Macaca fascicularis: one gene and its partners. The protein of the gene in region 3 binds, or shares a complex with, the protein of the main gene of each other region. Links are inferred from orthologs where the notes say so. Each region holds a gene or a part of one and is shown on either strand. Other genes may lie near its edges. The genes, in order: REN, DPP3, AGT and ANPEP.

Region 1 (4,001 bases), about 44 Mb from region 3:
GTGCATGGTACTCTGAAGATGCTGGCATCTCTCTATGCCCAACCCAGCTCAGGGGATCCTCTCCACCACAGCCCTGGTTGGGTGCCTGTCCCCCTGGTGTCCTGGAGACCTTGCAGCTGCTGTGGGCATCTGCTGCCACCTAGTGGCCTCCCATGGCACTGTCTCCCCACCAGCCCCTAGTTTTGACAGGGGCACTCCCTGGCATTCATCTCTTCAGAGGGAATGTCTGTGCCTATTTCCCGTCTGTCCTCCTGCCAGCTGGAGTTCCTTAAAAGCAGTCATGATCGTTATCTTTCTAGCTCCAGTTTCCAGCACAGTGAGGCACAAAGTAGTTGTTCAGCAGGGGATTATGGAATAAATGAATGAACGGACCAATAAACAAACAGCCTTGTCTAATTAAAATTAGGCAACAGAAGGAAGTCACTTCAGGGTTATTTAATCCGCGGGCAGCTGACTCCTCTAAATTGACTCTTGACAAGAGGTAACTCTTATAAATGCTCCAGAGGCCTTCAGGGACAGAGGTGATTTCCAGGTGGCTGGGCTAACATTAAAGGTGGTTGTACTAAAAGCAGGGATTTGGCCTCAGGGACTCTACCGTTATGGTGGGGGTACAGCACTTTTCTATTTTTGCTTCCTCCACCATGAGCCAGGATCTTCCTCAAGAGGATGCCCTCAATCCGAGAAAGCCTGAAGGAACGAGGTGTGGACATGGCCAGACTTGGTCCCGAGTGGAGCCAGCCCATGAAGAGGCTGGCCCTTGGCAACACCACCTCCTCCGTGATCCTCACCAACTACATGGATGTGAGTGCCTGGCCCAGCCCCTCGCTCCCTCCTTCCCTGTCTCCTTTCCCCCACGGACCTAGGGCTTTCTTTGCCACAAGACTCTCCCTTCCTATGCTGTGTTTGACGAAGGCGCTGAGGAACATTCCCATTTTCTGGTTGGAAAGCCTGAGCACAGAAGACAGGAAAGCACTCAGGGGCCATTCAGGGGCAGGGTTAGGTTTGGAACTCAGCCCAGGCCTTAAGCCAGGTGTCACAGGTGGGTGGGAAGGGGTGTGTGACTCAGGTGGGGGTTTCTGTGACCTGGTCCAGCACAGTCTGACGGCTTCCTGCCCCAGTAGATTCTCAAGGGTCAAGTTCGCATCCTGCTTCATTCTCAATGTTTTGATTTCGCCATTTTGTCTTACTGAGATTCCCACTTTCTGGGATGCCATGGGGCGATGCTAAGCCTCCTACCAGTTCCTGCAGGACAGCAGAAACCCCGAGAGGCTATAGGACCTCACCTGGGCGAAATCTTACCCTGACAGCCAAGAGTGAAGCCAGACAAGACCCCAAGACCCTGAGCCCCTCCAGCCCTCTCTTTTTACCCCCACAGACCCAGTACTATGGCGAGATTGGCATCGGCACCCCACCCCAGACCTTCAAAGTTGTCTTTGACACTGGTTCGTCCAACGTTTGGGTGCCCTCCTCCAAGTGCAGCCGTCTCTACACTGCCTGTGGTGAGATCTAAGACCCACAGTGCCTCTCCCCAATCCCCCTGCCCTACTGTGCATGAGCAATCCTGCCCCACACCTAGCTCCCATCCCTCTTGCCACCAAGGGAGTGCCTTCCTCTCTGCCTCTGTACCCACTGACCCTGACACTTAAGGGAGAGAGGAAGATGTCTCCCATTTTTCTGATATAGCCACCAAGGTTTTTTTTAAAAAAAAAAAAAAAAGAAAGCTCCAAGAATCCCTGACCACCCAGAAGGCTACTTCCCAGTCTTCCTGAGATTGAGACAGGACTGAATTCTCAAACCCATCCCAGGCACTCGGAACTCTTCCATCCCTAGTCTTAATCAACAACCTCTTACTGGGCACTTACTCTGTGCCCAGCATCTTCTCTGGTGTTATCAGTGTTAGTGATTACTTTACATTCCTTCATTTAGGACAAAATTATCGAGGTATGGGCACGTTAGGGGGGCCCAAGAAACCCAGTCCTTGATTGATGAAGCACATATTCCAAGCCTCCTGACCCTAGAGTCACTCGTCCCTGTACCTAAGCTAAGTCCTAAGCCACACCAGCCATACCCACAATGCACCCTGCCTCTGAGTCCCCCTGTCTGGGCCACTCTTGGACAAACCTAAGCCTCTGTCCCCCTGCCAGTGTATCACAAGCTCTTCGATGCTTCGGATTCCTCCAGCTACAAGCACAATGGAACGGAACTCACCCTCCGCTATTCAACAGGGACAGTCAGTGGCTTTCTGAGCCAGGACATCATCACCGTAAGTGGGGTTGCCCTAGGTCATCTGCTCCCAAACCCTTCTGTCCCCAGGCCTCTCCTGACCCTCCAGGGGCCATACCTGCGGGGAGGTGCACTGCAGCCCACTTGGAGCCTGGGGAGCTGAGGAGCACCCTGCTCTGCCACATCTGGCTGTTGCTGCAAAGCAGCAGTACCTATGGGGGAGCAAGCTTGGGCTACGGGCTTAACTGTTGGGTGGTTTATGGACGTTTTTGCATCTGACTTGCACGTAGGGTTGTCGTGAGCCCCATGGCTGCAGTCAAGTAACTTGCCCAAGTTCACCAGCTCTGACTGGGCTACACCCTAGACTAAAATCCAGGGTCAGGGTCAGGCTGAGTTTTAGGGTAAGGCATAGGTTTTAAGGTCACAGTTGAGGTTGACTCTGGGATTCAGGTCAAGTCCTGCTTTTTTTTTTATTTGGCCCATGTCTGACCCTTTCCTCATTCTGGAGTTTCTCAGGCCCTGCTCCATCAGAGTTAGGGGAGGGGCACACATGGGGCCTGACAGAAAATCAGGGTGATTCCTGCCTCCCTCCCTTTTTCTGTGAACTCAGATATAAAGAAGGGAGAAGGGCAAGGTTGGCTGTGCTGAAGAAACCCTTGCCCATGATAAGCGTGGGGGCCAAGACCTAGTCCTGCCGGGCACGAAAGGCGGGCCACTGGGGAGGGGGAGGCGCTCTTGGCAGCTTTCCTTTTGCTGCTTGGCAGGACCACCCTCTCAGCCTCTGCTGTCCAATCCCTGGTCAACTCCAGCTCTCTCTCGGCTCTGTGGCACAGACGTATTGGCATACACATTGGCGTACACAGAGTGTGTGCATGCAGAGTTGAGGAAACACTCTTACCCCAAATTCTGTACCCTGAAGCCTGTGTGGCCCTGGGATCCCTAGTGTGGAAGCCCAGACCAGACTCCAGCCAAGGAGCAGGCAGTGGGCTTGGTCTCCTCTGGTCCTTCCTCCCACAGGTGGGTGGAATCACAGTGACACAGATGTTTGGAGAGGTCACGGAGATGCCTGCCTTACCCTTCATGCTGGCCGAGTTTGATGGGGTTGTGGGCATGGGCTTCATTGAACAGGCCATTGGCAGGGTCACCCCTATCTTCGACAACATCCTCTCCCAAGGGGTGCTAAAAGAGGACGTCTTCTCTTTCTACTACAACAGGTGGGGACTGGGACTCCAGGGGCTGAGGTGGGGGGAGAGGAGGGGAGAAGAGCTGGGGAGTGGAAGGAGAGCCTGGGCCAGAATTGTTAAGCGTTTGTGATTAGATGACCGTCAATCAATATCTAGAGCTGTACTAGCCAATGTGGAAGGCACCATTGAAATTTAAATTAATTCAATACAGTTAAGCATCAATTAAGCATTCAACTGGTGGCTCTTAGTTGCACTAGCCACATGTCAAATGTCTGGCAGCCGCGGTGGCTAGTAACTACGGTTTTGGACAGTGCAGATAGAGAACATTCCCAGCTTGGCAGGACATTCTAATGGACAGTACCACTCTGGAGCAAGAGGAGATGCAAGGTGGGGATGATGGGAAATAAGGGATTACTGTGACCTGGAGCCCTGCCTGTGAGGGCCATGGCTCCTCCCACACAGAGACAGCCAACTTCAGTCATCCATTAGATCCTTCATTTGTTTGCCCACTCATCAGTTCAGTAAATGCTATGTGCCAAGCACTGTGCGAGGCTCTGGGGGTGCAGCAGTGAACACAGTGAACAAGGCAGAATC
Region 2 (3,455 bases), on a different chromosome or scaffold from region 3:
GCTGGCATGATTTGTTAATGCACTCATTTGACAGCCACTGAGCAACTCCAATGTGCCAGGCTGTGCATGAGGCACTGGTGTATGCTGCTCCTCCCATCATGAGATGTGACCACCAAAAAAATGGGCAAGCGTGATGGGCACATGAAGAAAATAAAGCTGGGTGGCAGAATAGAGAGGGACTGAAGCAGTTACTTTAGGTTGAGGGGTCAGAGACAACCTCTCTCACAAGGTGCCATTTTACAAGGAGCTGAAGGACAAAAAGAACCAGACAGGCAAAGATCTGGAGGAAGATCATGCCAAGCAGCAAGAACAGCCTATTTAAAGGCTGTAGGAGTGGAGCGAGCTCAGTGGGTAGAAGAAACAGAAGGGTCGGGAGCCCGGAGTACAGTAAGCCAGAGAAGAGGTGGTGAGGCTGGCAAGGGTTGGGGCTAAATCCCAGGAAGCCTCTGGAGGGCACGGAAAAGCATCTAGAATGAGCGTCTTAATAAATACTTTTTCCAGCCGGGCACGGTGGCTCACGCCTGTAATCCCAGCACTTTGGGAGGCCGAGGAGGGCGGATCACCTGAGGTCAGGAGTTCGAGACCAGCCTGGCCAACATGGCAAAACCCTGTCTCTACTGAAAATACAAAAATTAGCCAGGCATGGCGGCACATGCCTGTAATCCCAGCTACTCAGGAGGCTGAGGCAGGAGAATCGCTTGAACCTGGGAGGCAGAGGTTGCAATGAGCCAAGATTGCGCCATTGCACTCCAGCCTGGGCAACAAGAGGGAAACTCCATCTCAGAAAGAAATAAAATAAAAGCTTTTTCCACTGGGCATGGTGGCTCACACCTGTAATCCCAGCACTTTGGGAGGCCGAGGAGGGTGGATCACTTTGAGCTCAGGAGTTTAAGACCAGCCAGGCCAACATGGAGAAATCCCATCTCTACAAAAAATACAAAACTTAGCCGGGTGTGTAATGCCAGATGCTCGGGAGGCTGAGGCTACAGAATTACTTGAGCCCCGGAAGCAGAGGATGCAGTGAGCCAAGGTCACACCACTGTACTCCAGCCTGGGTGACAGAGTGAGACCCTGTCTCAAAAAATAAATAAATAAACAAAATTAAAAATAAAAAAATAAGGCCGGGTACGGTGGCTCACGCCTATAATCCCAGCACTTTGTGAGGCCAAGGTGGGAGGATCACTTGAGGTCAGGAGTTCAAGATCAGCCTAGCCAACATTGTAAAACTCCGTCTCTACTTAAAAAAAAAAATTAGCAGCCAGGTGCGGTAGCTCACGCCTGTAATCCCAGCACTTTGGGAGGCCGAGGTGAGCGGATCACGAGGTCAGGAGATTGAGACCATCCTGGCTAACACGGTGAAACCCCGTCTCTACTAAAAACACAAAAAATTAGGTGGGCACGGTGGCGGGTGCCTGTAGTCCCAGCTACTCGGGAGGCTGAGCCAGGAGAATGGCATGAACCCGGGAGGCAGAGGTTGCAGTGAGCGGAGATCGTGCCACTGCACTCCAGCCTAGGCGACAGAGCGAGACTCCGTCTCAAAAAAAAAAAAAAAAAAAAAAAATTAGCTGGGTGTGGTGGCAGGCACCTGTTATCCCAGCTACTCGGAAGGCTGAGGCAGGAGAATCACTTGAACTCAGAGGCGGAGGCTGCAGTGAACCGAGATTGCGCCACTACACTCCAGCCTGGGAGACAGAGTGAGACTCCATCTCAAAAAAAAAAAAAAAAACCCACCCAAAAAACAAATAAATAAATGCTTTTTCCTCACCAATAATAGGTAATGACTTTTTACAAATATTATTCTATTTAACCCTCAGAACTGCCCAGGACAATGCTTTTTTTTTTTTTTTTTTGAAGAGCTGAGGTCTTGCTCTGCAGTCTTGAACTCCTAGGCTCAAGCGATCCTCCCACCTCACCCTTTCAAGTAGCTGGGACTACAGGCAGGGGCCACCATGCCTGACTCAACCACTCTTAATTTGACTCTTGGCTTCTCCACTAAAAAGGCATAAGCCTTGTGCAAATTACTCAAATTACTCTCTGTGCCTCAGTTTCCTTACCTGTAAAATGGGGATAACAAAAATACCTACCTTATTGGGCTACTGTATGGATTTAAAAGGTTAATCCCCAGAAAGCACTTAGAAACTCTAAGAAGGAATTCAGGTTCACTATAATATCAGCAAGCGGTCCACAATGGCTTTGTGAATGAAGACACCAAAGTCTAGAAAGGTCAAATGACTAGGCCAAGGTCAGAGGGCGGTTCTGAAGCTGGTGCTCTAACCACTCCATAACACCACATCATCTTAGGTGTCTCAAGTGACAAACAGCAGGAAAGATGAATCAAGGGGTGAGAGGAAAGTGAAGGCAGTCAGGGGCTGGGTCCCCAGGGGGTTTGAATTCAAAAGATATAAGCACCTTGTGGCCAGGGCGAGGCTCCGGAATTGTCGCTTGAGAAGGAAGAGGGATGATGCAGCTGTTGATCACCATCCCAGATGCGACCAAGTCACACTGTCCACTGGGTTTCACTAGGCTTGCTGGGTCCCAGCTCCCTCCTGACCTGACCCCCAGCCTGGGTACCCAACAGGTCTAATCCTTTGGTACAAATGCCTGGCTTCCCCCTAAGTCTGCATGTTCTGCTATCCCCTGCTCTGGTGGTATTCTTCAAATCTTCTGTCACTGTCTTAGAACTCGCATGACTGTGTGTGTGTCGGGGGGGTGGTGGGTGGTGACCGATACCAAGATTAGGGCCTGAGGTTTGGCACGGGAAGGACCCTGGCAGAAAGGGAAGGGCCATCCCAGGCTGCTCTCCCTGAGCCCTGGGATGGGTTCTTATTGCTTCCCAGAGGGCCCTGTGTGGTGCTCATTAAGGGAGCTCAAGAGTCCATTACCTTCAAGGCGAGTGTTGGGCTGAACGATGAGCTTCCGAGATTCCTTACGCAGCAGCACCGTGTCCCTGAGGGTGAGGAAGCACTCCGGGGGCACATCAGTGACTGCCGCATACCCCTCGTACAGGGCCCGCCCTCCGGCCACATCCCCTGTGGACTTCAGCACCTGTGGGAAGGATGGAGTAAATGTCTAGGATGGGCACTTACCCGGTGTCCACAGGGCTCTGCCACAGGCCACAGCTGATTGTGGTCAGCCCTGGACAGTCTGTGCTATGGTTTGAATGTGTCCCCTCCAAAATTCCGCTGTTGAAACTTATGGTTAAGTTTCAACTTAACCATTAAGGCTCCTTCCTCACAAATGGGATTAAGGCCCTTATAAAAGAGACTTTAAACTGGGTGTGGTGGCTCACATCTGTAATCTTAGTACCTTGGGAGGAGGAGGCAGGGGATCACTTGAGCCCAGGAGTTTGAGACCAGCCTGGACAATGTGGCAAGACCCTATCTCTATGGAAAAAGTAAATAAATAAATAAAAGGCCAGCCATGGTGGCTCATGCCTGCAATCCTGGGCACTTGGG
Region 3 (4,487 bases):
GCCATGAGAGTGAGCCCTGATCTAATATGACCTGTGTCCTTATGAGAAGGGGAGATGAGGACATGGACACACACAGAGGGAAGACCATGTGAGGACAGAGAGAGAAGACAGCCATCTACAAGGCAAGGATAGAGGCCCCAGAGGAAACCAACTCTGCCGATGGCTTGCTCCCGGGCTTCTAGCTTCCAGAACTGTGAGATAATACATTTCTGTTGTTGAAGCCTCCCAGTCTGTGGTACTTATGGCAGCCCAAGCACACTAAGACATGCTCCTGCCTGCGGCTGTAAGTTCTCTCCTAGAAAAACACATACGTGCCAATCAGTAGGTCTTTGCGGAGGCCTCCTAGACCCCTGAGATGCTCATTCAAGGGCCCTAGGGTGAGGGTTGGGAATGGTTTTCTCATCTCCTTGTGGTCCTAATATGCAGCCAGGATTGAGCACCACAGGCTCAACCCAAAGCCCAAGTATTTTTCCACGTGTCTCAACCCCAAAACCAGCTCTCAACCATCCCTCCATAGTGCTATCCCCTGCAGAGCCCCAAAGGCATGCACACCTAGCATGGTTTGCCCACTGATACTTGGATTCCTTAGATTAAAAAAATAAAAATTAAAAAAAAAAAAATTTCTCAGGTGGCTCTGATATGTAAGCAGGGTTTAGAACCCCTGCCTTAGACACGGGTCCGGCACCATGTTCTCTCAAAGGCCTTGCCACTGGGCTTCAGCCTCAGCTGCTGCAAATGAAGACTACCCCGAGACCCCAGAAGACAAGGTTCTTGGGCTGGCCCTGCTAATTCATTTCATCTGACTCTTCCTGATTGACGGGATGAACGTTGATTCTATTGATTCATTCAATTCTAACAGTTTGTACCACATCTCACTCATTTCTTGTGGAGGGGGTGTACTGCAATATCGTCACTGCTTAGCCTTTTCTGTCCCCCCAGGGCTACGCCAGGCTTCCTTGGAGCTGTAGCAGGTCATCACTGACTCGAGGCCACCTTGATGCCTAGATTTTTCTGCCTCACCTAAGCACACCCAGTCATTCTTCTTACATTAGCAGCTGGCTTCCCCCCAGACCGGTAACCAGCACCTGCCCTCAACACGGTGCAACTGCTGAAGTACCTGGTGTGTTTCGTTCTGCTTCAGTCATTCAAATGCCAAAGAGACTTTGACTTCTGACCTCAGCTACCGCCTCACCCCACTCCCCATGCGTTGACTCCATCCGCTGTTCTCAGGAAGAGCCTCACGACATGGAAAAACAGAACAGAAAACTCTCCCTGCTGCTTGCAGGCCTGTCTGTGCAGAGAAGCCTGAGCCACCAGTTCTCACCTAATCTAGACAGTCACATCACATCAGGTCGTCAGGGGAAACCTGTGGGAACCGACTGCTGGGAAGTCCTGCCTGACAAGCGCCACCTGTTCGGGGTTTGGATGGCGCTGGTCGGTGCAGCCCACTCACTGTGCTGCTCCTGCGCAGGTACCATCTCCAGAGACGCAATTCCTTGGGCCATTTTTAAGGCAGAGACTGTCGTTTGTTCTCAGTTGTGATCTGTGGCTGCTCCCTAGGCTGTTTCCAGGTCTGCACGCAGCCGCGTCCTGGGAGTAATGGTGCTCTGGGGTGGCGGGCCTGACACCCTTGCCTGGAGCGCCCCTCCGCCTTCTCCCCTCCTGCCCCTGCCTCTTTGCCAGCACCTGCCCCTTCTATGTCTCCCTACTTCCCCCAGGCTGAATGCTACAGGTGAAGATGACGGCTCACGCTCCCGTGGTGCCTGTCATTTGCAGGGCATCGTTCTTATATCAACCCCTCTGACCTCATCATAGTCCTCACCTTCCCTGAGGTTTCCTTGGTGCCGTATTTCACCCTGCAGCTTTCCCCACCACACCGGGCACTCTCAACTCTCTCATCTGGCTCCCCTTTTCCCTCCTTATAACCCCTGTACCATGTAGTTACGCACTTGTGCTGTCCAGCGTCTTTGTCTGTTTGCCCTGACGTGAATGTGAGCCCCGGAGCAGGGTTCCTGCTGCTATGTTTCCTAATACAGCCCACATTCCCAGGACAGTCCCCGGGACCTAATGCATCCTGGAGAAGTAGTTAATGAATTGGTTCCTGCTCTTTTCCAGAGGAACAAAGAGGTCCAGTGACTTGTGCAAAGTCACACAGCTGGGAAGAGACAGAACTAGGACTCAGAACCAGGCCCTCTGACTCTGTCATCCACAAGTTTAAGCACCAATCTACGCTGCCCTTGAATGAAATTGGAATCTGCCTTTTAGCTTATCCCAAAGCTTAGAAAGTACTTTCATGTTGTATTAGTTCTCTTCAGCTGCACCACAGCCCCTGAGAGAGGGAGCCCAGGCATCGTTACTAGTCCCATTTTATAGGTGAGCAAATCGAGGTTCAGAGAGATGGTGACCAGCCTGATGACACAGTCAGGGAATCTGTCTCGAGGGAGGGGTAGGGTGACCACTCTGGGGATCCCAGCTGGGGACTGACCGGGCCCAGCCCTTCCCTGTGGCCCCACTTCCTGTACAAGCCCTGCTGTTCCTCCTGATGGCAAGAGGACCTGGTGGACTCTTGACCATGATGACTCTGCTCCATCCCTGAGGACCCTAACTCTTCTCAGCCGAAGCAGGAAGACCTGACCATCTGGTCCTATTGCTAAGGAGGAGCAGCTCCTCCTGGGAGACCCCTGGGTGGGCACTGAGCGGAGAAAGCCTGCGTCCAGATGACTGGTCTTATGGGAGGGGAGAGATGCTTCAGCCATCACCAGTGCCCCTCCCGGCCTTTTCCTCCCGGCCCACAGCTCAGTTACGTCTGAGAGGGACAAGGCTGAGAAGGAGCTGAGGGGGCCCCCGGCTTACCTTCTGCTGTAGTACCCAGAACAATGGCAGCTTCTTCCCCTGGCCGCGTCATGAGGCCCTATTTATATCTGAGGGGTGGGGATGGAGCCGTTCCCAGGCTGCCTGTGCACAGGCTGGAGGGGGGTTACATCATGTGGCCAGACCACAGGCTGGCCAGAAAGACAGACGCCAGAAGGGACACTCACGCTGGGACCCCTTCCAGGAAGTCTTAGTGATCGATGCACAGTTTCACTGCTGAACAGAGTGAGCCGGTGCAGGGTCGAGTTACACATTTACCGAAGTTTGCAGGAGTGGGGGCCAAGGTTCCCAGAAACAGCAGCATCTCCCTGGGTGTGTGACAGCTTAAGGCCAACCGCCCAGACCTCCTGACCCAGCCCTGGGATGTGCCCCTAAGAGGCCACGGGGACATGCAGGCCGGAGGCGCGGAGGGCAGAGGGCAGGGGAGCGTCTCGCTCAGGCAACACGGGGGCCACTTCTGACCCTGCTGCCCGCTCATGGGATGTGTGACCTTCAGCTGCTCCCAACAGCCATTTGGCGCCTACCCTGTGCAAAGGCCTCTAATAGACACTGGGAAAAACACACGAGCAAGTGAAAAGTGCCTTCTGGTCGCTTCCAGTGTAGCTGGGGAGACTGTTAAACACCAACAGTAGCACAGCCAGATTAAAAGACACAAACGAAATGCCTTCAGGATGCAGAAAGCATTCACCTGTGCAAGCTGGCGAGGGGCGAGGGACAGATATCACTGGGCCTGCACCTGGAGGAGGAGCTGGTCTGACTTGGAAGCTGCAGAAGGGCTTTTCTGAGGCAGAGGCTTGAGTGACACTCACCAACAAGAGGGAGAGCATGGGGGGCGCGTGTGGGGGAATACAAGCAGGCCCGGGTACTGGGCAAGAGGGCTGCAGGAGACAAGCCCTGGCCAAACGGCTGCTGCTGCCTGGCCACAGGTTCTCACAAGCTTATGCAGTCACTGTCCTATTTCCTGCTGAGCCTCCGGGACCAAGGACTTCAGGCCGCACTCTCAAGGAGCTGGGGTTGACACCCATGCAGAAACCTGCTCCCCATCAAGATTGGGGGCCAGGTGCAGTGGCCCACATTTATAACCCAAGTACTCTGGAAAACTGAGGCAGGAAGATAGTTTGAGGCCAAGAGTTTGAGACCAGCCTAGGCAACATAGCAAGACCCCCATCTGTGCAAAAAATAAAACTAACTGGATATGGTGGTATGCACTGGTAGTCCTAGCTGCTTGGGAGGCTGGGGCAGGAGGATCACTTGAGCCCAGAAGTTTGAGGCTGTAGTGAGCTATGCTCACACCGCTGCACTCCAGCCTGGATGACAGAGACTCTGTCTCTTAAAAAGGACCCTTGTGGACCTCACGCTTTGTGTCTCTTCTTCTGGCTGTTCGTTTGTATTCCTTATAATTAACCAGTAAATGTAAATAAAATGTCTCCTTGATTTTTTTTTGGCAGTTTTTCCATTTTTATTTGTGTGTGAATTTTTAATATAAATGTGGAAACATAAGGCATTAATGCAAATCAAAATGTTTCAGTGAACAAGTTTCAGCAATTCAACTTTATGATAATTATAAATAAACTTGTTACATTTTTCTGGACAATGCCAGGATTTGGATTTTTTTT
Region 4 (4,611 bases), on a different chromosome or scaffold from region 3:
CAGGAAGCTGGAGAGCATCCTGAGGACTGAGGCGCCCTGGGGAGGGGGTGAGGGGGTGCTCAGAAGGCTGTGCTGAGCCACCAGGACCCTGTGCCCCCAGACCCCAGCTTCAGCGAGGCCCCTCCAGGCCAAGTCCCCACCTCCCTCCCTGTGTCTCACGAGGTGTGGGCTGCACCTTGCTGTAGGAGATGGAGTCAAACAGCTCACTGATCTGGGCCGGCGTGTTGATCTCCGAGGCAGGAGTGGACAGTGGGTGGGAGGAGGCCAGTGCATCCACGGCCATCACGCGGTACACTTCGTTCAGCACCATGAGGTCTTTCTGCAAATTCCCCAGGGCCATCAGGACACTGGCCTGGTAGCGGTGGCCCAGGTCTCCCTCCACACCCCCCGACTGGACCCCAGGGCAGCTGCTCACCAAGTTCCAGGTGGGCTCTGCATAGTCAGCACCCAGGTACTCCACGTAGGAGGCAAAGCCCTCGTTCAGCCACAGGTCATTCCACCACTCCATGGTCACCAGGTTCCCGAACCACTGTGGGGGGAGGGGTCAGCTGGGCAAGCCACGCCCAGGCCAGGCACTGAGAGTCCCCAGAACTACCCTCCCCAGGGCTGGCCACCTGCCAGGCACAGTGGGGATTTCACCAACCCCATCGTGACCCCTTCCTGCTGCCCTGTCAGGCGGCACCCTCCTCCCTTCTCAGCAGCCTGGGGCGGAGCCTGGACCTGCACCATCTCCTCCTGGAGCCCCCGTTTCCTTCTCTGCACTCCCCGAGATGGGGGTCTACCTGGTGGGCCAGCTCGTGAGCAATCACAGTGACCACCCGCTCCTTGTTGCTGCTGGAGGAGGACAGCGGGTCGAACAGCAGGGAGTTCTCCCGGTAGGTCACCAGTCCCCAGTTCTCCATGGCGCCGGCGTTGAAGTCAGGCAGGCCAATCTGGTCTGGGGAGGCGAGGCCATTGGCAGGATGGCCTCCGGGAGTGGAATTCCAACCACTGCCTCCCTCCTCGAGGACCCCCACTCACCTGATTTTGGGAGTGGGTAGGGTGTGTCATAATGACTGGCAAAGAAGTTAAGGATGGGGCCTGTCACGTTCAGAGCATAATCGCCGTGACCCGCCGCAATGGCACTGGGCCGGGCCCAGATCCGGATCTGCAAGGTGTGAGGAAGAAGCAGGCCAGGGGCCCCTGTTTGATCCTGGGGCAGGTGGGCTGGGTCCCAGGGCCCAGTGGGCCAGGGGGATCCCCGATGGGCCAGGGCTGGGGGTCAATCAAGCTAAACCTAGAGACCTGGTCAGCAGAAGGAACACTAGGGGGGCCTGGAAGCTGTGGGTCCTAGAGAAGGGCCTTTGGAGAATACCAATTATCATAGCCACCGTCTGTCTGGTACTGGCGGGTCAGAACTCCCTTCATGAGGAGAAACCATTGTTTTCACTTTTCAGGTGCAGAAATAGAGAACCAAAGAACAAGACACTTGCCCGAAATCACTCAGAGCTGGGATTCAAACCCTGGCCTAACGATTCAGAAATTGGTACAGGGATGAAGAGAACAGGAAGACCCCTCAAGCCAGGGCCAGCCCAGGTGAAGGAGAGATGGGCCCAGCCTCATACCAAGACATCATTGGATGCCTGCGTCTCCACGTAGGTGAACTCGCTGACAATGAAGGCCAGCAAGTACGTGGACATCTTGGGCGTGGTGTGGAACTCGGTGACACTCCAGTTGGGGTCTTCTGGAAGTGGGGTGCTGGGACCTGGGCACAGAGCATGCGTGTGTGAGGATGCACCCTCCTGCCCCATACCCCAGCCCCAGCGTGCCTGCCCCCTGGCCGTGTGGCCTCAGGCAGGGCCCACTCACCTTTGGGAAGCATGTTGGACAGGGCTGTGAGGTCCTTGGGGTGGATAAGCGTGATGTTGAACTCGGCCTTCATGGCCGGTTCATCAAAGCATGGGAAGGACTTCCGGGCATCTGGGGCCTCCATCTGTGTTGTGGCCACCACCCTGCCCCAACCAAAAAGTTAGAGGGTATGCCAGGGCTGAGGGTATGGGAGGGGATCTGAGGATGCTACCAGTCATGCAGGGAAAGGGGTACATGGAAGGCTGCCCCAGCCTAACCCCTTCTCCTGCTCCCGCTCCCGCCTCCCCTGGGAGCCTCCAGAGCCCTGCCAAGCCAGCTGACTGGTGGGGGTTGGGGCTCCTTCTGGATTTGGGGTGCCAGCAGGCTCTCAGGGACCTCTGGTGAGTTTCTCTCCTCTGAGCCTCAGTTTTCCTGCCTGTCCAAGGGACATTCCGTCCCTCATCCCCAGCTTCCTGGTGAGGGGTGGGGAAGCCCTCCCAGTTTGGTGTGTTGGCAGCTGCTCTGCCAGCAGCTGGAGGTGAAGCAATGGGCCAGCCTCGGGCTCCACAGGGTTCAAAGGCCTGCAAGTTAAGTCCTTCCTTGGCCCTCAGAATCCAGCCTTGCCTCGGCACCTCGGATCCACCCCACCGGGTAGCCCAGCCGACACTCACTTTTTGACATCGCCCTCCATGTACTCGCTGCGGTAGAAGCCCTTCAGGTCATCTGCCAACTCCCCCTCAAACTCACTGTCCATCTCATATTGGCTGTCCTTCACCAGGGAGCCCCTGAGGTGCACCACCAGGTACTCAGTGGGCTCCACCAGCTCGGTTCTGTCGATGTCGGGGGGCTGGGAGCCTCCCACTCCACGCAGGACCACCCTGTGCCCCTGGCTGAGGGTGTAGTTGAGCTTCTTGCTGTGGATGATGATGACGTCGGTGGCCTCCTTGCAGGTGAAACGGACGGTACTGGAGCCCTTAAAAATGTATAGGCCCCTGTCATCGGGGGTGAGGTACGGCCTCAGCGTCACCTGGTAGGAATCGGGTTTCAGCGTGTTGGGGAGGCGGTAACGGTTCCACAGTATGCTTTGGTCCAAAGTGGTGGCCAAGGTGGGGTTGCTGGTGGTGGCTGAGGCAGACGGGGTGGTGGAGGCCTCGAGGGAGCTCTTGGCATTCTTGTTCTTCTCCTGGGAGTACACCACTGACAGTGCGATGATCGTGCACACGGCCGCCACGCCCAGGAGGATCCCCAGGATGCCCAGGGACTTGGAAATGTAGAAGCCCTTGGCCATGGTGATGGTGGGGAGGCGGCTCAGGGAGCCTCAGGCCAGGCGGAGAACGGAGCAGCCCCAGGCTGGGCTTATATCCCTGAAGGGGAGGAGCCCCACAACAGGCAGACTGGGCAAAAATTAACCAGGGCTCCAACAGGCGAAGGTCACTGGACTGGGCAGGGGCACACTCTGCCTGGGGAGAGAAGATCCAGGAACAGTGTGTAGAGCTGGGCTTGGGGGTGCCTGCTGGAAGCAAACAGTGTCTGGTTACAGGCTGCAGGCAGCCTGGGATCAGGCCTGAGGGCTGAAGGGCAGGCTGCCGGCTAAGGGCCCAGCAGGCAGAGCAAGTGGCCAGGTGGCATTGCATTGATCTGCTTGAGAGCTGAGAGGGTGGGAACAGCATCAGAACTGAGGTTAGAGTCAGGAAAGGACTTCCCAGAGGCGAGAGATGGGAGGTGCACAGAGAAGGGTTCCTGGCTCCTATTAAGAACACACTGGGGTCACCCCTTTGGTTGTATCTCTGGAAGGATGCCAGGAGCTCCTCAGTGACAAGGTCCCAGCCTCCCTTTCATTCTTCAAGAGCACGGAGTTCCTCCAGGTTCCCCTCCCTGCCCCTTCTTGCCAAATACTTTTTCCTCCATTATCAGCTCACGGAATAAAATGAATTGAGTTGTTTTGCTTTTTTGCTGAAGGCTTCATCTCTTTCCAGCTGTGACCTTGAGCAGGTAACTTTACCCTTCTGAACCTCTCTCCTCATAAATAAATAACAGTATTTGCCTCTCAGGTTTGTTGAACAGATTTAATGAGAAAACACATTAAACACCAAATAGTATAATGATTAAAAATCATTCCCGGCTGGGCGCGGTGGCTCATGCCTGTAATCCCAGCACTTTGGGAGGCTGAGGTGGGTGGATCACGAGGTTAGGAGTTCAAGACCAGGCTGGCCAACATGGTGAAACCCCATCTCTACTAAAAATACAAAAAAATTAGCTGGGCGTGGTGGCAAGCGCCTGTATTCCTAGCTACTCAGGAGGCCGAGGCAGAGAATTGCTTGAATCCAGGAGGCAGAGGTTGCAGTGAGCTGAGATCGCACCACTGCACTCCAGCCTGGGTAACAGAGCGAGACTCCGACTCAAAAGAAAAAAAAAAAATCATTCCCTTCTTTTTTACCCAAAGCTCAATGATTGCCTCTTTCTATCCTTGGTAGAAATGAAGATATTGCTTACCATACTCAATAAAATACACACCTTACAGGAAAATTATGTTCATTGTCACTTTCCCCATCCACCAGCCCAGTTTCTCAGACCTCGACACCGCCTGACCTCATTCCACATCCAATTTACTCACATTCCCCCATCGCAAGATGCACTTGTCAAAGCCATTCTCATCATTTATGTGGACACAGCAGGGCCCTTATGGACTCCCTGCCTCCATTTGGGCCTGCTTGAACCTGCTCAACACAAATTGGATCATTTTATGCCACTGCTAAAAAACCTTCCTTCTCCTTGTAGAGTCCA

The links.
Region 1: the proteins of AGT (region 3) and REN are in contact, whole or in part, in a crystal structure (PDB 6I3F), measured with the Homo sapiens proteins. The link is inferred for Macaca fascicularis from reciprocal best matches to the Homo sapiens genes AGT and REN. Residues at the interface, in NP_001369746.2 of Homo sapiens: Asp25, Tyr28, Ile29, His30, Pro31, Phe32, His33, Leu34, Val35, Ile36, His37, Asn38, Glu39, Lys91, Leu92, Ala95, Met96, Met99, Leu100, Phe103, Arg107, Arg148, Ala151, Ile152, Gly154, Gln353, Gln354, Asn355, Asn358, Glu391; in NP_000528.1 of Homo sapiens: Tyr81, Met82, Thr84, Gln85, Val102, Asp104, Gly106, Ser107, Asn109, Ser118, Arg119, Leu120, Tyr121, Thr122, Val125, Tyr126, Leu147, Arg148, Tyr149, Ser150, Pro181, Ala182, Leu183, Pro184, Met186, Leu187, Ala188, Glu189, Phe190, Val193.
Region 2: the proteins of AGT (region 3) and DPP3 are in contact, whole or in part, in a crystal structure (PDB 5E2Q), measured with the Homo sapiens proteins. The link is inferred for Macaca fascicularis from reciprocal best matches to the Homo sapiens genes AGT and DPP3. Residues at the interface, in NP_001369746.2 of Homo sapiens: Asp25, Arg26, Val27, Tyr28, Ile29, His30, Pro31, Phe32; in NP_005691.2 of Homo sapiens: Phe109, Glu316, Tyr318, Glu329, Phe381, Gly385, Ile386, Pro387, Ala388, Gly389, Ile390, Asn391, Ile392, Asn394, Arg399, Val412, Leu413, Val415, Ala416, Phe443, Val447, His450, His455, Glu507, Glu508, Asn545, Arg548, Leu552, Glu555, Phe556.
Region 4: the proteins of AGT (region 3) and ANPEP are in contact, whole or in part, in a crystal structure (PDB 4FYS), measured with the Homo sapiens proteins. The link is inferred for Macaca fascicularis from reciprocal best matches to the Homo sapiens genes AGT and ANPEP. Residues at the interface, in NP_001369746.2 of Homo sapiens: Val27, Tyr28, Ile29, His30, Pro31, Phe32; in NP_001141.2 of Homo sapiens: Gln211, Gln213, Ala351, Gly352, Ala353, Met354, Glu355, Arg381, Val385, His388, Glu389, His392, Glu411, Glu418, Asn438, Arg442, Phe472, Tyr477, Ile864, Phe896, Ser897, Asn900, Gln903, Ala904, Arg907.

What each region holds. Positions count from the first base shown.
Region 1 is NC_088375.1:61,985,022-61,989,022, reverse strand, and holds part of REN (renin precursor), read left to right. Parts: intron 1-650; coding exon 651-801; intron 802-1,375; coding exon 1,376-1,499; intron 1,500-2,144; coding exon 2,145-2,263; intron 2,264-3,240; coding exon 3,241-3,437; intron 3,438-4,001. UniProt on the Homo sapiens protein: Renin is a highly specific endopeptidase, whose only known function is to generate angiotensin I from angiotensinogen in the plasma, initiating a cascade of reactions that produce an elevation of blood pressure and increased sodium retention by the kidney.
Region 2 is NC_088388.1:7,887,387-7,890,841, forward strand, and holds part of DPP3 (dipeptidyl peptidase 3), read right to left. Parts: intron 3,046-3,455; coding exon 2,883-3,045; intron 1-2,882. UniProt on the Homo sapiens protein: Cleaves and degrades bioactive peptides, including angiotensin, Leu-enkephalin and Met-enkephalin. Also cleaves Arg-Arg-beta-naphthylamide (in vitro).
Region 3 is NC_088375.1:18,386,067-18,390,553, reverse strand, and holds the start of AGT (angiotensinogen), read right to left. Parts: upstream 2,892-4,487; 5' UTR 2,854-2,891; exon of another isoform or gene 1,118-2,853; intron 1-1,117. UniProt on the Homo sapiens protein: Essential component of the renin-angiotensin system (RAS), a potent regulator of blood pressure, body fluid and electrolyte homeostasis.
Region 4 is NC_088381.1:74,267,376-74,271,986, forward strand, and holds the start of ANPEP (aminopeptidase N), read right to left. Parts: upstream 3,161-4,611; 5' UTR 3,116-3,160; coding exon 2,499-3,115; intron 1,992-2,498; coding exon 1,849-1,991; intron 1,745-1,848; coding exon 1,605-1,744; intron 1,148-1,604; coding exon 1,021-1,147; intron 938-1,020; coding exon 783-937; intron 530-782; coding exon 416-529; intron 320-415; coding exon 176-319; intron 37-175; coding exon 1-36. UniProt on the Homo sapiens protein: Broad specificity aminopeptidase which plays a role in the final digestion of peptides generated from hydrolysis of proteins by gastric and pancreatic proteases.